Linked DNA regions of Arabidopsis thaliana. The protein of the gene in region 1 purifies or fractionates together with the protein of each later gene. This does not show direct contact. Each region holds a gene or a part of one and is shown on either strand. Other genes may lie near its edges.

Evidence for each region. Proteins that work in one complex are often made in the same cells at the same time.
Region 2: the proteins of EIF2 BETA (region 1) and AT2G18720 fractionate together in Arabidopsis thaliana (co-fractionation; one large-scale study listed by BioGRID). This does not show direct contact.
Region 3: the proteins of EIF2 BETA (region 1) and AT4G18330 fractionate together in Arabidopsis thaliana (co-fractionation; one large-scale study listed by BioGRID). This does not show direct contact.

What each region holds. Positions count from the first base shown.
Region 1 is NC_003076.8:7,094,121-7,098,937, reverse strand, and holds EIF2 BETA (eukaryotic translation initiation factor 2 beta subunit), read left to right. Parts: upstream 1-1,792; 5' UTR 1,793-1,926; exon of another isoform or gene 1,927-2,067; intron 2,068-2,268; 5' UTR 2,269-2,276; coding exon 2,277-2,315; intron 2,316-2,442; coding exon 2,443-2,557; intron 2,558-2,648; coding exon 2,649-2,704; intron 2,705-2,806; coding exon 2,807-2,861; intron 2,862-2,955; coding exon 2,956-3,050; intron 3,051-3,140; coding exon 3,141-3,286; intron 3,287-3,403; coding exon 3,404-3,546; intron 3,547-3,637; coding exon 3,638-3,723; intron 3,724-3,872; coding exon 3,873-3,944; 3' UTR 3,945-4,289; downstream 4,290-4,817. Other genes in the region: TSL (Protein kinase superfamily protein), read right to left, coding at 127-216, 474-725; AIP2 (RING/U-box superfamily protein), read left to right, coding at 4,628-4,795. UniProt on the Arabidopsis thaliana protein: Component of the eIF2 complex that functions in the early steps of protein synthesis by forming a ternary complex with GTP and initiator tRNA.
Region 2 is NC_003071.7:8,114,298-8,118,869, reverse strand, and holds AT2G18720 (Translation elongation factor EF1A/initiation factor IF2gamma family protein), read left to right. Parts: upstream 1-1,871; 5' UTR 1,872-1,892; intron 1,893-2,058; exon of another isoform or gene 2,059-2,100; 5' UTR 2,101-2,110; coding exon 2,111-2,234; intron 2,235-2,332; coding exon 2,333-2,501; intron 2,502-2,531; exon of another isoform or gene 2,532-2,557; coding exon of another isoform or gene 2,558-2,577; coding exon 2,578-2,680; intron 2,681-2,763; coding exon 2,764-2,991; intron 2,992-3,076; coding exon 3,077-3,295; intron 3,296-3,380; coding exon 3,381-3,950; 3' UTR 3,951-4,015; downstream 4,016-4,572. Other genes in the region: AT2G18721 (uncharacterized protein), read right to left, coding at 1,764-1,871; SCY1 (SECY homolog 1), read left to right, coding at 4,418-4,572.
Region 3 is NC_003075.7:10,124,900-10,129,291, forward strand, and holds AT4G18330 (Translation elongation factor EF1A/initiation factor IF2gamma family protein), read left to right. Parts: upstream 1-1,679; 5' UTR 1,680-1,764; intron 1,765-1,836; 5' UTR 1,837-1,847; coding exon 1,848-1,974; intron 1,975-2,063; coding exon 2,064-2,238; intron 2,239-2,315; coding exon 2,316-2,418; intron 2,419-2,501; coding exon 2,502-2,729; intron 2,730-2,822; coding exon 2,823-3,041; intron 3,042-3,124; coding exon 3,125-3,688; 3' UTR 3,689-3,835; downstream 3,836-4,392. Other genes in the region: AT4G18320 (uncharacterized protein), read left to right, coding at 117-1,079; AT4G18335 (uncharacterized protein), read left to right, coding at 3,970-4,392.

The DNA.
Region 1 (4,817 bases):
ATATTCTTCATTATAAGTTGATGAGAAATACTAGGAGACAAAACTTACATCATACACCAATATTTGATATAAAAAACATCAACCCGATAAGAGACTAAAAGAAAACTCTTTATGAAAAATCAATACCTCAACATGATCAACAACACTGAAGTTGTTAGATTCTTGAACTTTCTGGCGCTTTTTTGTATTTGCTCGGATTAGGAAATCTCCAGTATTCTGAGACAGTAACAAGGAGAATGAGATCTAGCTAAAAAAGAGACTGTATTTCTTGTTCAAGAAAGAAATATAGATGCATCTGCAATGCCAGGATATGTAGCCAGCATTGCATACAACTTTGATCAATCTTTAGGCACAAACTGATCAATACAAGGAGGATAGGGACATCAACAATTCAATTAGCAACGACCCTTAGACTCACAAGAATCATAGCATAGACATAAACAAAAGAATTTGAAACAAACATCGGAAGCTACCTCGTCGTCTGAATCACTGATAGAGGTTTCGGACAATCCCGGCGGTGTGGAAGTGACGACTTTGACAGCGGCAGAAGCAGATGACCAGAGAGAGACCTGCTGCTGCTGCTGTTGTTGTTGTTGTGGTGGCTTGGCCGAGGAAGGGGTCTTACCAGTCAAGCGGGCCTCAAGCTTGGCGATTTTGTCGGGTAAAGAGTGATCCGACTGATTAGAAGAATTCGAGGAGAAATGCAAAACCATGTCATCCGACATTGCCAAACACTTGCGGACACTTCACTCCCTAATTTCTACACAGATCAGAGTAAATTCGAGAAATTAGGGTTTTTTAACGGAGAATTACGGAATTGGAAGCTAGAATCTGGATGTCGAAGAGAAACCCATCAACAAATTTTCATGCTTTTATGCAAATCCACGTGGAGGAAAGTGAATAAAACGTACAGAGAAAGATAGACAGAGAAAGAGAAGGAGGAATAAGGTTTTTGTTTCGGTGAAAAAGAAAAATCGAGGAACCCTAAGGAATTAGGAGGGAAAGAGAGGTCAACACAAAGTTCTCTTTAGCACTCACTCTGATACATTTTTTGGTTTATCAGATTTTAGCCTAATTATATAATCTGAGGTTTGAGACAAGTTTGAGTTATGGGTGTGTTAATTTGGGAAATTTCCATTTTTTCTTTCTTTTTTTTTCTCCATTTGGTATCATGGATTAGGGTTGACTATAAGTAGGGTTTTCTTTGATCTAAGGCCAGACTCGTGGTTTAAACGCTAAAATCCGATTATGACTATATGAATTTGCGGAAGTAGGCGGTTGCCGTCTCAAGCGTTATTAAACAATTTGAACGATTAATTTAGCGGTTGAAAATTAATGCATTTGCGGAAATTTTGTTACTGAATATCTAACAAACTAAAATACTTAATATATTAAATAATAAAATAATATAATTTAGTAATTTATAGTAAAATAAGATATGCTAGACTATTAATTTTGACACTAAATATATTCTGATTTCTTTCTTTACTAGTTTCATTTATATTTAATAACATTTTTATATAATTTACTATTCACAGAATTTAATAAGAAATAAATCTTAATTTGAAAAAAAAAAAATTGATTTGATAAAATTTCAATTGATTAATTAATTAAGACAAATAAAATAATAAATGAGAATCTCAGTGTCAATTAATAGATAAAATTAAAATGTAACATGCGTTAAGAAAAAGAAAAAAGTAAAAATGTAATATTAAGGTTTAGGCAAAATGAAATATTTACAGAGACCTTTTACTATTGAATTAAAAAAAAAAGTTACAATTCGAGATGGACTATTTTTTTGGAGGAGCAAGGGTTAACTCTTATCTCAGATTAAAACAACCCCTGCGCCGCTTACTCTCTCTCAGATTCCTCCCGAAGCAACCTCGTTTACTCTCTACGCCAATTTCAGCGCTTAGACATCCCTTTGTGAGTTTTCTTCGATTCCTTTTCGAATTCTTCTGGTCGATCTCAGAGTAAATCGTGTTTTTGGAAGAATTGAGTATAAACAGATTGGTAAACCTAGCTGTTCCGTTTCTGATTTGAAGCCTTGTCGTACATTTTATTTGGGTATTTTTTTTATTGGGAATCGAAAAGTTGTTCTGAATCTCGTTATGGTTTTGTTGCGTTCCGAATTACCTCTCTGATTTAGAAACCCTAATTTCGGACTTGCCTATGCTCATCGTTGTTACAGATTATGTTGATTCTAATATGTATATGTTTGGTTTCTGAGGTCTTATTATCATTGTGTGTTTTCGTTTTGTATCTCAGTTGCAATCATGGCTGATGAAATCAATGAGATAAGGGAAGAGCAAGAAGTAAGTTTGTTTTTTTTCTCTGTTTCTTAATGATAGGGCTCAAGTTAGCCATATAGATTTTTTTTTTTGTTTTGTTTGATGAACTCATGATTGAATGGTTTTTATGTTTTGGTTCATCCTTTTACAGCAGCTCGCACCCTTTGATCCTTCCAAGAAGAAAAAGAAGAAGAAGGTTGTGATTCAGGAACCTGTCGAGGACTTAGCAGAGTCTTCACAGACTGAGAAATCTGATTCATTGCCTGGTATGTATGATGAAGAGTCAATGTGATGTGAAACATTTTTTTTGTTTCAATGGTCTTTTGTGTTACTTTGTCTAATTCCTTGTTTTTGCAGTTAATGATGGTCTTGAGAGTTCATTTACTGGAATGAAGAAAAAGAAGAAGAAGCCAGTGAGTATTGTTTTACGTTTTGTGCCTAGTATTTTTTTTATGTCATTAAACTTGTGTGTTTGATGATTCTGTGACTCACATTTGTTCTTGTTTGATATTTAGACTGAATCAAGCTTATTGAACAACGAAAGTGTTGATGCTGGGGAAGATTTGGATGGTACTTTTAATATCCTTTTTTTTTGTTTGCTAATATACCTTTTCTCTTGGCGGGGTTTTTATCCTGTTTGAATCTTACTGAGAATATATTGCAGAGATTGCTAATGACGAGCAAGAGGGGGAAGAAGGAATAGTTCTACAGCAACGTTACCCCTGGGAGGGAAGTGAGAGGGATTACATATATGACGAGGTGACTATATTTTCGATGATTTCTTTTGTTTTAATCCTTCATAAATATCTTGCTCCCTTGTTTTTTTGCTGACGGGAGTTATATATGCAGCTTCTTGGTAGAGTCTTTAACATTCTCCGTGAAAATAATCCGGAGCTTGCTGGAGATAGGCGTCGTACAGTTATGAGGCCTCCTCAAGTTCTTCGTGAGGGGACAAAGAAGACTGTCTTTGTCAACTTCATGGACCTTTGCAAGACGTATGAGCTAACTCTTTATCTTCCTCTTCAAACTTTTTCTGTGTAACCATAAGTAATATTACCATTTAATTTTGATGACTTTTCGATGACATGTCTTATCTGCATATAAAAAATCAGGATGCATCGTCAACCAGATCATGTTATGCAATACTTGCTTGCTGAGTTGGGTACTAGTGGTTCGCTTGATGGGCAGCAAAGGTTGGTTGTTAAGGGAAGGTTTGCACCTAAGAATTTTGAAGGAATTTTGCGGCGATATATCAGTAAGTAACTTTCTTCTTAGTCTCAAAATTTAAGTTGCCATAAAAGTATATCAGTTTGGAGTTGTTAACCTCTTGTTTTATTATTTCTCAGCTGACTACGTCATTTGCCTTGGTTGCAAGAGCCCAGACACCATTCTCTCCAAGGAGAACCGTCTCTTCTTTCTGAGATGTGAAAAGGTATAAGTTAATCTAATTAGTCCTGATCTTGATATGCATTCCTTTGTTTCTGTTTTACAGTTTTACTTTCTGCGCAACAAAGTAATAAAGTATTTTGTGTGTTTGAATTTGCTAATGTGATTAACGAGTGGGCTACATGGTTTTTGCAGTGTGGATCTCAACGATCTGTGGCTCCGATCAAAACAGGGTTTGTTGCTCGTGTTAGTCGCAGGAAGACTTGAGAAATTAGAAGGTGAAGTGACCTTGGTATGGAGTTTGGAGCTATTCTACTGCTTCTGTATGAGTTTATGAGTTGAAGAAATACTTGTCTTGTTTTTTTTATTTTGTTTTGGAATATGATTATGACTTGACTTTTAAAATGGGATAGGATCAAAACCTTTTACTCTGTCAGGTTCATGTGGTCACCTTGAAGGTTGATTTAGTAAATCCATGGACTTCTTTTTTGTGTTAAGATTATTCTTAGTTCAAAATTAATAGACTAATGATATTAACGTCCACAGGCATTGCGTTCAACATCTCAAATTAAAGCGTGGAAGGCTCAGAAAGTCCAATATACACTATGTTTATCTACAGTTACAATCATACTACAAAAAACAAATAATGTATACGGTTTGGTCTAATATAGCCGCATACGATTTAGTATTTACCAACAAAAAATTGGTCTCAAACCAAACCGAACAATTGGTAATTAACAATTGTTCTTTTGGTCTTGAACCGAACCAAACCGAACTGAACTATATTAACCGACCGACTTCGTCCTTTCCTCCTGATCAAGAAAACTCGTCTCCTACAAAAATCCCAGAAGACAAGAGATTGGTTCTTCTTTTGCATCATTCTTACAAAATCCCCAAAATCATTCGAAACCCCTGAGTATTCTCCTTAACTCTAAGAAATAAATTTCTGAATGGATGCATCGTCTTCACCGTCTCCTTCCGAGGAAAGCTTGAAGCTTGAGCTTGATGATCTTCAGAAACAGCTGAACAAAAAGCTGAGATTCGAAGCATCCGTTTGTTCTATTCATAATCTTCTCCGTGATCACTACTCTTCTTCCTCTCCTTCTCTCCGCAAACAGGTTGGTTTTTATTCTTAGATTT
Region 2 (4,572 bases), on another chromosome or scaffold:
AAATGAAAAATAATAAAGGATTGTTTTTTTTTAATCTTTCTTCTTCTTCTTTGCTGAGAGATTTCAAATCAACCAATATAAAATCTTCTTTTGACAGTTTGTATTTTCTTGTCTGTTTTGTCTTTTTTATAAATGATTTAGTTTCGAAGACAGCGCACAAAACGTGTGAATTAATTTGCTTATATTGAAAAAAAAAGAATTTACACGGTTGGATTTCAATGTGACGTCATAAAAATGCCACTCTTTAGATCTTTGATTCTTTTTCTTTTTTTATTGTTTGACATTTATGAAAGCGACTGATAAATGTTTATTTTGTAAAAGTTCTAATTTAGAATAATTTTGATTATTAATAATATTAAACTACTAAGATTTGTATAGTTTAATACCATTATCTTCTGTAACTAAGATTTGTAGATCTTTTGTTTCTGTAAGATCAAATTTACAATTTAAAGTGTACAAAATCTTACAATACTAATGATGGCATAAAGAGATTAACAATGAGATTTTTTAACGTTATTGTTATATCAAGAAAACCAGAGAAAATTAATTAGTAATTGATTGATACATTGTAAGAATAGGATCTAATGATATTTTAATATTCAAAAAGGTTCCATTATAGAGGTTACATCTGGTGAATATGATTGAATACAATTTGATATAGAGAATTAGAGATACTTGCATTATTATTTGCTTCCTATTATTATTTGACTGCATTATTGGTTTCTTTTTCTATGTAAAAAATATTTTCAACTCTCCAACAAAGAAACAAAATTCTCTGACATTTTGCTTAGAAAGAGTGGCGTTTTCGTCATTAAACAAAGGAATAGTTTTGGTGGTAACGTAAATTGTAAAAAAACAGCGAAGGAGACAATAGAAAATGAGAGCAGACATTGAAGTTAGTGGATTTTCCACAGAATGGGGCCTACAATGTTATTGCCCACTCAGAGAAATAGGGTCACTGAAAGTGATAGCTACTTCCCATTGCTGGGATCGTTGTGTACTTTTTCTAACCTAAATTTCCCTCAATGCCTTTTTCTTAACTTATAGAATTGGTCGAAACTTGAAAGTATATACAAATGCCACAGAAAAAAACATCATTTAATACCTTCTTAATTGCACGATATGATATCAGATGTTTTGTAACCAAGAATTGGTCCATGTAAACAATTTATTATGTGGCAGAGGAAGACTCAAATTCAGGTGGCTGATAAAAAGTGGGGTTTAAGATATTTCTTGAACTGGAAGACAATGAGCGTGTGTTCTCATTAGTATTACAAATCATATTTACATTATTATAAAGCGGAACATATTTACATTATACTCCAAATGATGTAACTATAAAATTTGATCTAACAATATATATCGTTAAGAAAAATAACCTAAATTTATCACAGCTTATTCATTTACACTCCTATAGAATCATAGATTTCCTACTCTTTTTTTTTTGTCATCATATAAACATATACTACTTTTTGTTCAAGGATCAATGTTTCTTAGTTTGGTGAAAGATAGAAGTAAACTGGAGTGGGCCAATGGTTAGGCGTGTAAGCCCAAACTTTGGAACGATTTTAGCCCATCTCAAAAGGAGCGTGCTATATTTTGTAAATGAAATTGCAAAATTACCTAACACAAATTTTCCTATAAAAAAACATTTCGGGTAAGAAACCGACAATTATAAAATAAAAATTGTAAGACATGTTTTATTGACACATGGAAAAATGAAGTTGGCGAAAAAGACAAACAGTAAACGTTAAGATAAAACCCTACCTATAAATATACCTTACACGCCACCTGACTTTATCAAAACCAAAAACACAAACCTTCAACGGCACGCTTTCTCCTCTGAAATCTCTGCGAGCAAACTTCTTCATCTACCTCTTACCGTACTTCAGGTTTGTGTAAATCATTTTTATAAGAACTTCAGTGAAATAGATTAGCAACCCTAATTGAATTTAATCGAATCGTAACTATTGTGAACGGAACCCATCCATCTTGCATAAAAACCCTAGTTTCTGAACAGCCTTTCGAAACTTCTAGTGTTATTGTATTGGCTCTGATCAACGTTGTTCTAAAGTTGTGAACTTTGATTGATTGCAACAGAGTGTTTAAGATGAAATCTGTCGTAATGTCGAAGAACAAGGGCTTAGCTGAACAAGATCTAAGTAAACTTGATGTAGCTCAGCTGCATCCTCTCTCTCCTGAGGTCATCTCTCGTCAAGCCACCATTAACATAGGTATACACAAGTTTTTGTTTCATTGAGTTTTGATGCTGAAGAAACTGATCAGCCGTGCATTGAAAGCTAAAGATATGACTATGCTCTCTATATCTCAGGAACCATTGGCCATGTCGCTCACGGGAAATCGACAATCGTGAAAGCCGTTTCCGGTGTGCACACTGTCAAATTCAAGAGTGAATTGGAGCGTAACATTACCATTAAACTTGGTTACGCAAACGCAAAGATTTACAAATGTGAAAAATGCCCTAGACCAGTAGCCTACAAGTGAATTCTTGCTCTTCTTTTGCTACAATAAGGTTACGTAGTGTACGTAGCAACTTATGATATGTGTTAATTATAGGTCTTTCGGGAGTGGCAAAGAAGACAACCCAAGTTGTGATGTCTCTGGACATGAGAAGTACAAGATGAAACTACTAAGACATGTCTCATTTGTTGATTGCCCGGTATAAAATGAGTTTTAACACTATTTCTAAATCTTTTGTAACCATTTTCTATATGTTAATGAGGTGTTTTGTGTGTTGATTAGGGACACGATATCCTAATGGCGACAATGCTGAATGGAGCAGCGATTATGGATGGTGCTTTACTAATCATTGCTGCGAATGAGACATGTCCACAACCACAAACAGCTGAACATCTTGCTTCTGTTGATATGATGCATCTTAAAGATATCATAATCATTCAGAACAAGATTGATCTCATCCAAGAAAACGAGGCTATTAAACAGCACGAGGACATCCAGAGATTTATAACGGTTTGATTCAATTTTCCCATTCTGTTTTTTTTTTGCATTTTTCACTTCTTGATTAGTTGGTTAAGTTTTAAACTTGTTATTACAGAACACGAATGCGGAAGGTGCTCCTATAGTTCCTGTCTCAGCGCAACTGAAATACAACATCGATGTTTTGTGTGAGTACATTGTCAAGAAGATTCCACTCCCTGTGAGGGATTTTGTGTCACCTCCAAGAATGATTGTGATTCGTTCTTTTGATGTCAATAAACCTGGCTCTGATTATGATGGTATGAAAGGTGGAGTTGCAGGTGGGAGTATCCTTCAGGTAAAACATACTCAATACCCCGAAAAACTAGGATAAATCGCGGTTGAATCAATGTAACTTATGTCTCTCTTTGCTTTGTTTGCAGGGTGTTTTGAAGGTGGGGCATATAATAGAGATAAGACCTGGAATCACTAGAAAAGATGAGAATGGAGACACTAAATGCACTCCCATTTACACGCGTATAACTTCATTGTACGCGGAACAGAACGAGCTTCAGTTTGCTGTCCCGGGAGGTTTGATTGGAATTGGGACAAGCATGGATCCTACGCTTACGCGTGGTGATAGGTTAGTTGGTCAAGTCCTTGGTGAAATAGGTACTCTCCCTGATGTCTATGTTGAACTTGAAGTGAGTTTCCAGCTTCTGACACGTCTCATTGGAGTGAAGACAAAGGAAACAGAGAGGCAAATGAGAGTGTCAAAGCTAGTCAAGGGAGAGATACTGATGTTGAATATCGGATCGATGTCTACGGGAGCTATGGTTATTGGAGTAAAGAAAGATATGGTGAAAGTTAATCTGACACTCCCTGTGTGCACCAGCATTGGAGAGAAAGTGGCTATAAGTCGCCGTGTGGATAGGCATTGGCGTTTGATCGGTCGCGGTCAGATTGAGGCTGGAACCACCATTTTTATCCCTTCTCCTCCTTCTTTGGCATGATTATATTTGATGCATTCACATATACCAAACTTGTAGTCTCATTATATCTTCAGAGTATTCCTAATCTGTCACCAAAGGAGATAACTAAACTTCTATGTGCTTATGCTTTTTGTGTGAAGTCTAACTAGAGTTTGATCAATTGCATCATCTTGATTTGTTATTAAAAGTTTTATAGTCTATGGATGTTACAGCTTAATTAACTAATTATCCTACATAGTTCATTTGAGAGAAAGATATAATTTGTGATTGTTGAAACTTGAAACTTGAAGTCTTGAAGAAACAGAAAGAAAGACTTGAAGTCATGGTCTCATTCCTAACGCCCAAAACAACAAAGATTAATAATGTGCAAAAGATGTATTGGGCCTAAAAGGCCTGGCCCATTAGCTGGATTCCGTAAGAAAAAAAAAAAAAGTGAAAAGGAAAAGAAGAAATCGTCGTTGTTGTGGAGAAGGAGAAGAAGGATAAGGATGATAACGGTAAGCGAAGTTTCCTCTTACTCTTCTTCTTCTTCAAACTTCGCGTCTCTGTCTCGTCTCAATCACAAATCATCTTCGAGATTGCGAAGCTCTTCTCTTTACAAAGGAAGCTTCTTCTCTGTTTCGACAAAGACCAGGAGGAACAC
Region 3 (4,392 bases), on another chromosome or scaffold:
TTCATTTCTCTCAAAATTATTTTTCTTGGTTTCATCTCATTTTTTGGAGGGATTTTTGAGAACATCTTTAAAAAAAAAATAATCTTCCAGTTCTTATTTGTTAATTCTTATAGTTTATGCTCTCATCTCACTTCTCTCAAATTTGTTTCTCTCGCAGGGATTCATGGGGAAGTTTGCCTCAAGATCTCCTCAGAAGTTCTACAAATTTGCTTAACCCTAACTTTACCGAAGGTGGGGCACTAAGAGGTGTCAACACTCATTGGAGGAACACATTTCTTTCTTTCCGTGAAGGAGGTTTCGTAGAGGAAAGGCCGTGGTTGTTGTACCGTGAAAGGGGATCCCGAGTTGCCCATTTCTATGACCCTGTGAGAGAGGAGCTACATCATGGGAAAGACCCATATCTTGAAGGGGCCAAATTCTTAGGATCAACATTGGGTTGGGTTGTTATGTCCAACTCCAGTGCCATACACCGACGTCAAGACCACCAAGCTTTCTTATACAACCCGTTCACTTCACAACGGTACCAACTACCCCTTCTCACCACTGATAACCCATGTGTGATCCGTTACGGTGTGCTCACCGGAGATCCCCGTCAAGACAACACTTATGCTTGTCTCCTAGCCGATAGCTTTCACGAAAATAATCATATGGTGATAGCGCATATGCATGCTCCTAGTCGACAAATATATTATGTAGCCAAGAGTAACGGAGACTGGGATCAGAACTGGTCAGTGACTCGTATCCCTACCTTCAACCATCCAATTTGTGGTTCGACTATAGATTCCCTCTCCCCATCTGTGGACAAAATATCAATTATTTTATGGGGCCATACTCTTGACTTCACCTTCCGAACCCAAAATTGGAATGTCTCAAATACTCAAGAGAATGATACCATCGAATGGAATCCTTTCCACGGCCAATCTTTTGATCAGATCAAACATCGACTTCAGATATTTCCACAAACTCTAGACATTATCGGCACTAAAACTGATCGCGAGAGAGTGAAAAACCGCACTTGGGGTGCTAACAACCAAATCGTTTCTTACACTGACGGAGTTTGGGTTGAGGTTCGCGCTTAGCCTAATGTTCTACCACTTGACTCTTTAAGTTATTTCTCTGTGATTGTTTTCGTTATCTATCTTTTATTTGTGTGGTTTAAGATTTTTAGTATTAATTTCTATTTATTGTGTTGCAAACTCTACTCATTGTGGTTTCGTTAGAAACTCTACTTTGGTTTGTTTATAAAAATGCTGATCTTTTATTGTTTATTTTTACGTTAAACTTAATAGACAAACAAAGAACTCTTAATTCGGTGTACATCTCTTCGTTAATATATGTAAAACATATTTTTTTTAAAAAAATTGTTTAGCAAAGAGTAAAATGAAAAATTCTACAAAAGATGTTCTCTTATTTGGCTCCTCTACAAAAAAAACTCAACTCCGATTACAAATTCGAGTTTAAATTTACAGGTTTTCAATATTGGGCCGTATTGGGTGCTAATGGTTTTACTAATAATAAGAATGGGCCTAGTTAATCATAAGGCAATGAAAAAAAGGTTTACAAAACCCTACATTTTTTACCTTCCACGTGTAAACTTCTTCCCCAATCTTACAAATCTTTAACTGTCATCGAGCGAGCTCAACATTTTTCGGACAACAAAGTGTAAGAGACTGATTAAACAAAATCGAGACTTTATAGTACTCAGGTTTGTCGGAATCGACTGAGTATCGAAATTATTGTGGTGTTTTGTGAACAGAAACCAAGGTATGCATGAAATCGTTTTGTATATAAACCCTAATATCGATTTCAGAATTTTCATTGATCTCGTTGTTTTAGCAGGATTAAAGATGGTTCAATCTGTGTTAATTTCGCGTAACAAGGGTTTGGCGGAGCAAGATCTAACTAAGCTTGATGTAACAAAGTTACATCCTCTGTTTCCTGAAGTCATTTCTCGCCAAGCAACCATAAATATCGGTAAATTACACTCTGCTTTTGCCAGCTCCTCTAGGTCTATAGTATAACTTGATGTCAAAGAAACCAATACTGTGCTAAATATATCTCAGGAACCATTGGTCATGTCGCTCACGGTAAATCGACTATAGTGAAAGCTATCTCTGGTGTTCAGACTGTGCGTTTTAAGAATGAATTAGAGCGTAACATTACCATTAAGCTTGGTTATGCAAATGCAAAGATTTACAAGTGTGAGGATGACAAGTGCCCTAGACCAATGTGCTACAAGTGAGTCATAATCTTCTTTTTGATATAATAAGGCTAAGTGTTATTATGTGTAGCAGCAGCTAATCTGTTAATTTTAGGTCATATGGGAGTGGAAAAGAAGACAACCCAACTTGTGATGTCCCCGGATTTGAGAATTGCAAGATGACACTACGGAGACATGTCTCATGTGTCGATTGTCCGGTATTAATGAGTTTAATTTACACTTTGTCTCTCAAAACTAGAACCATTGGCTATATGTAACTGAGTTGTTTTTTATTCATCAGGGACATGATATTCTTATGGCGACAATGCTCAATGGAGCAGCAATCGTGGATGGTGCTTTACTTCTAATTGCTGCTAACGAGAGTTGTCCACAACCACAAACCGCTGAACATCTTGCTTCTGTTGATATGATGCGCCTTAAGCATATCATAATCCTTCAGAACAAGATTGATCTCATTAATGAGAAAGCCGCCACTGAACAGCACGAGGCTATTCAGAAATTTATAACGGTTTGATCAATTTTCTTATCTCTCTGTTGTTAAATCTTTCATGACTTCATCAGTTTGGTTCTCATATTTTCTGTCACATATATAATGTTGCAGAACACGAATGCTGAGGATGCACCTATAGTTCCTGTCTCAGCACAACTGAAATACAACATTGATGTTGTGAGTGAATACATTGTCAAGAAGATTCCAATCCCTGTGAGAGACTTTGTGTCACCACCAAAGATGATTGTGATTCGTTCTTTCGATGTCAATAAACCTGGCTCGGCGGGTCATGAAATGAAAGGTGGTGTTGCTGGTGGAAGTATCCTCCAGGTATGTTTTTATCTCTCTGTTTCTCCTCTGTTCTTACCTGACTGTGAAACAATTTAGTATTAATATGTGTCTCTCTTTGTTTGGGTGTTTTGAAAGTGAACCAACTGATTGAAATTAGACCTGGTATCACTGGCAAAGATGAGCATGGAAACTCAAAATGCACTCCAATTTACTCGCGTATAACTTCACTATACGCGGAACAGAACGAGCTTCAGTTTGCTGTACCGGGAGGTCTAATCGGAGTTGGAACAACCATGGACCCTACGCTTACGCGTGCTGATAGGTTGGTTGGTCAAGTCCTTGGTGAAATGGGTACTCTCCCTGACGTCTTTGTTGAGCTTGAAGTAAGTTACCAGCTTCTGACTCGTCTCATTGGAGTGAGGACAAAGGAAAAAGAGAAGCAAATGAAAGTGTCAAAGCTAACCAAAGAAGAGATATTGATGGTGAACATCGGGTCTATGTCTACGGGAGCTAAGGTTATTGGAGTCAAGAAAGATATGGTGAAACTCCAACTGACGTCTCCGGTGTGTACCACCATAGGAGAGAAGGTTGCTTTAAGCCGACGTGTCGATAGGCATTGGCGTCTAATTGGTAAGGGTCAGATTATGGCTGGAACCACCATCGATGTTCCTCCTCCTCCTTTCTAATGAAGTAGTGATGAGTTTTTTATATTGTTTGCATTCAAAAATAATTAACATGTGCCTTTGTATGTTTAATCACTTTCTTTCGACTACAATATAAAACTATATTCATATTTAACACAACATTGACGAAAATTTAAAAAACAAATTCATAATTTCATTAATGATATTACTTATCACTAATTAGGAATTATATAATTCTAATTCCCTCCTCGTTCTGAGCTTTTGTTTCATCTTTACGCTCTCTCTTACTCTCAGCCAAAACCCTATACTCTCTTTCAATCCCAATGGAAGATTTGGTTTTGATGAAACAGAGTCTTCTAAAAAGCTTCATCGTCTCTCTTATTCTCACTCTCGTCTTCCTCATCTCACCATCATCATCATCTTCGAATCAAGAAACAAGAGTATCATCAACACAAAAAACGGAAGCTTATCTCAACGGTTACGAATCACCGCACCAACTCGTCTACATCAAGAAAACGACACCGTTTATCTTGAACCAGCGGTTGCAACGAGACAACCACCGTCGTCGTCGTTACAATCACCAATACTACTACTACTATCGACATACTCTTCGTCATCGCCGTGGTCTTCATCATCGTGCTGGCTACTTCAAGATGATGGCCAAGAAGAATAACGGTTTAAACCGTCCGGTTCGACAGGATACTTTCTCGGTTATGCTTCCCAAAGGATTCGTACCTCCTTCCGGT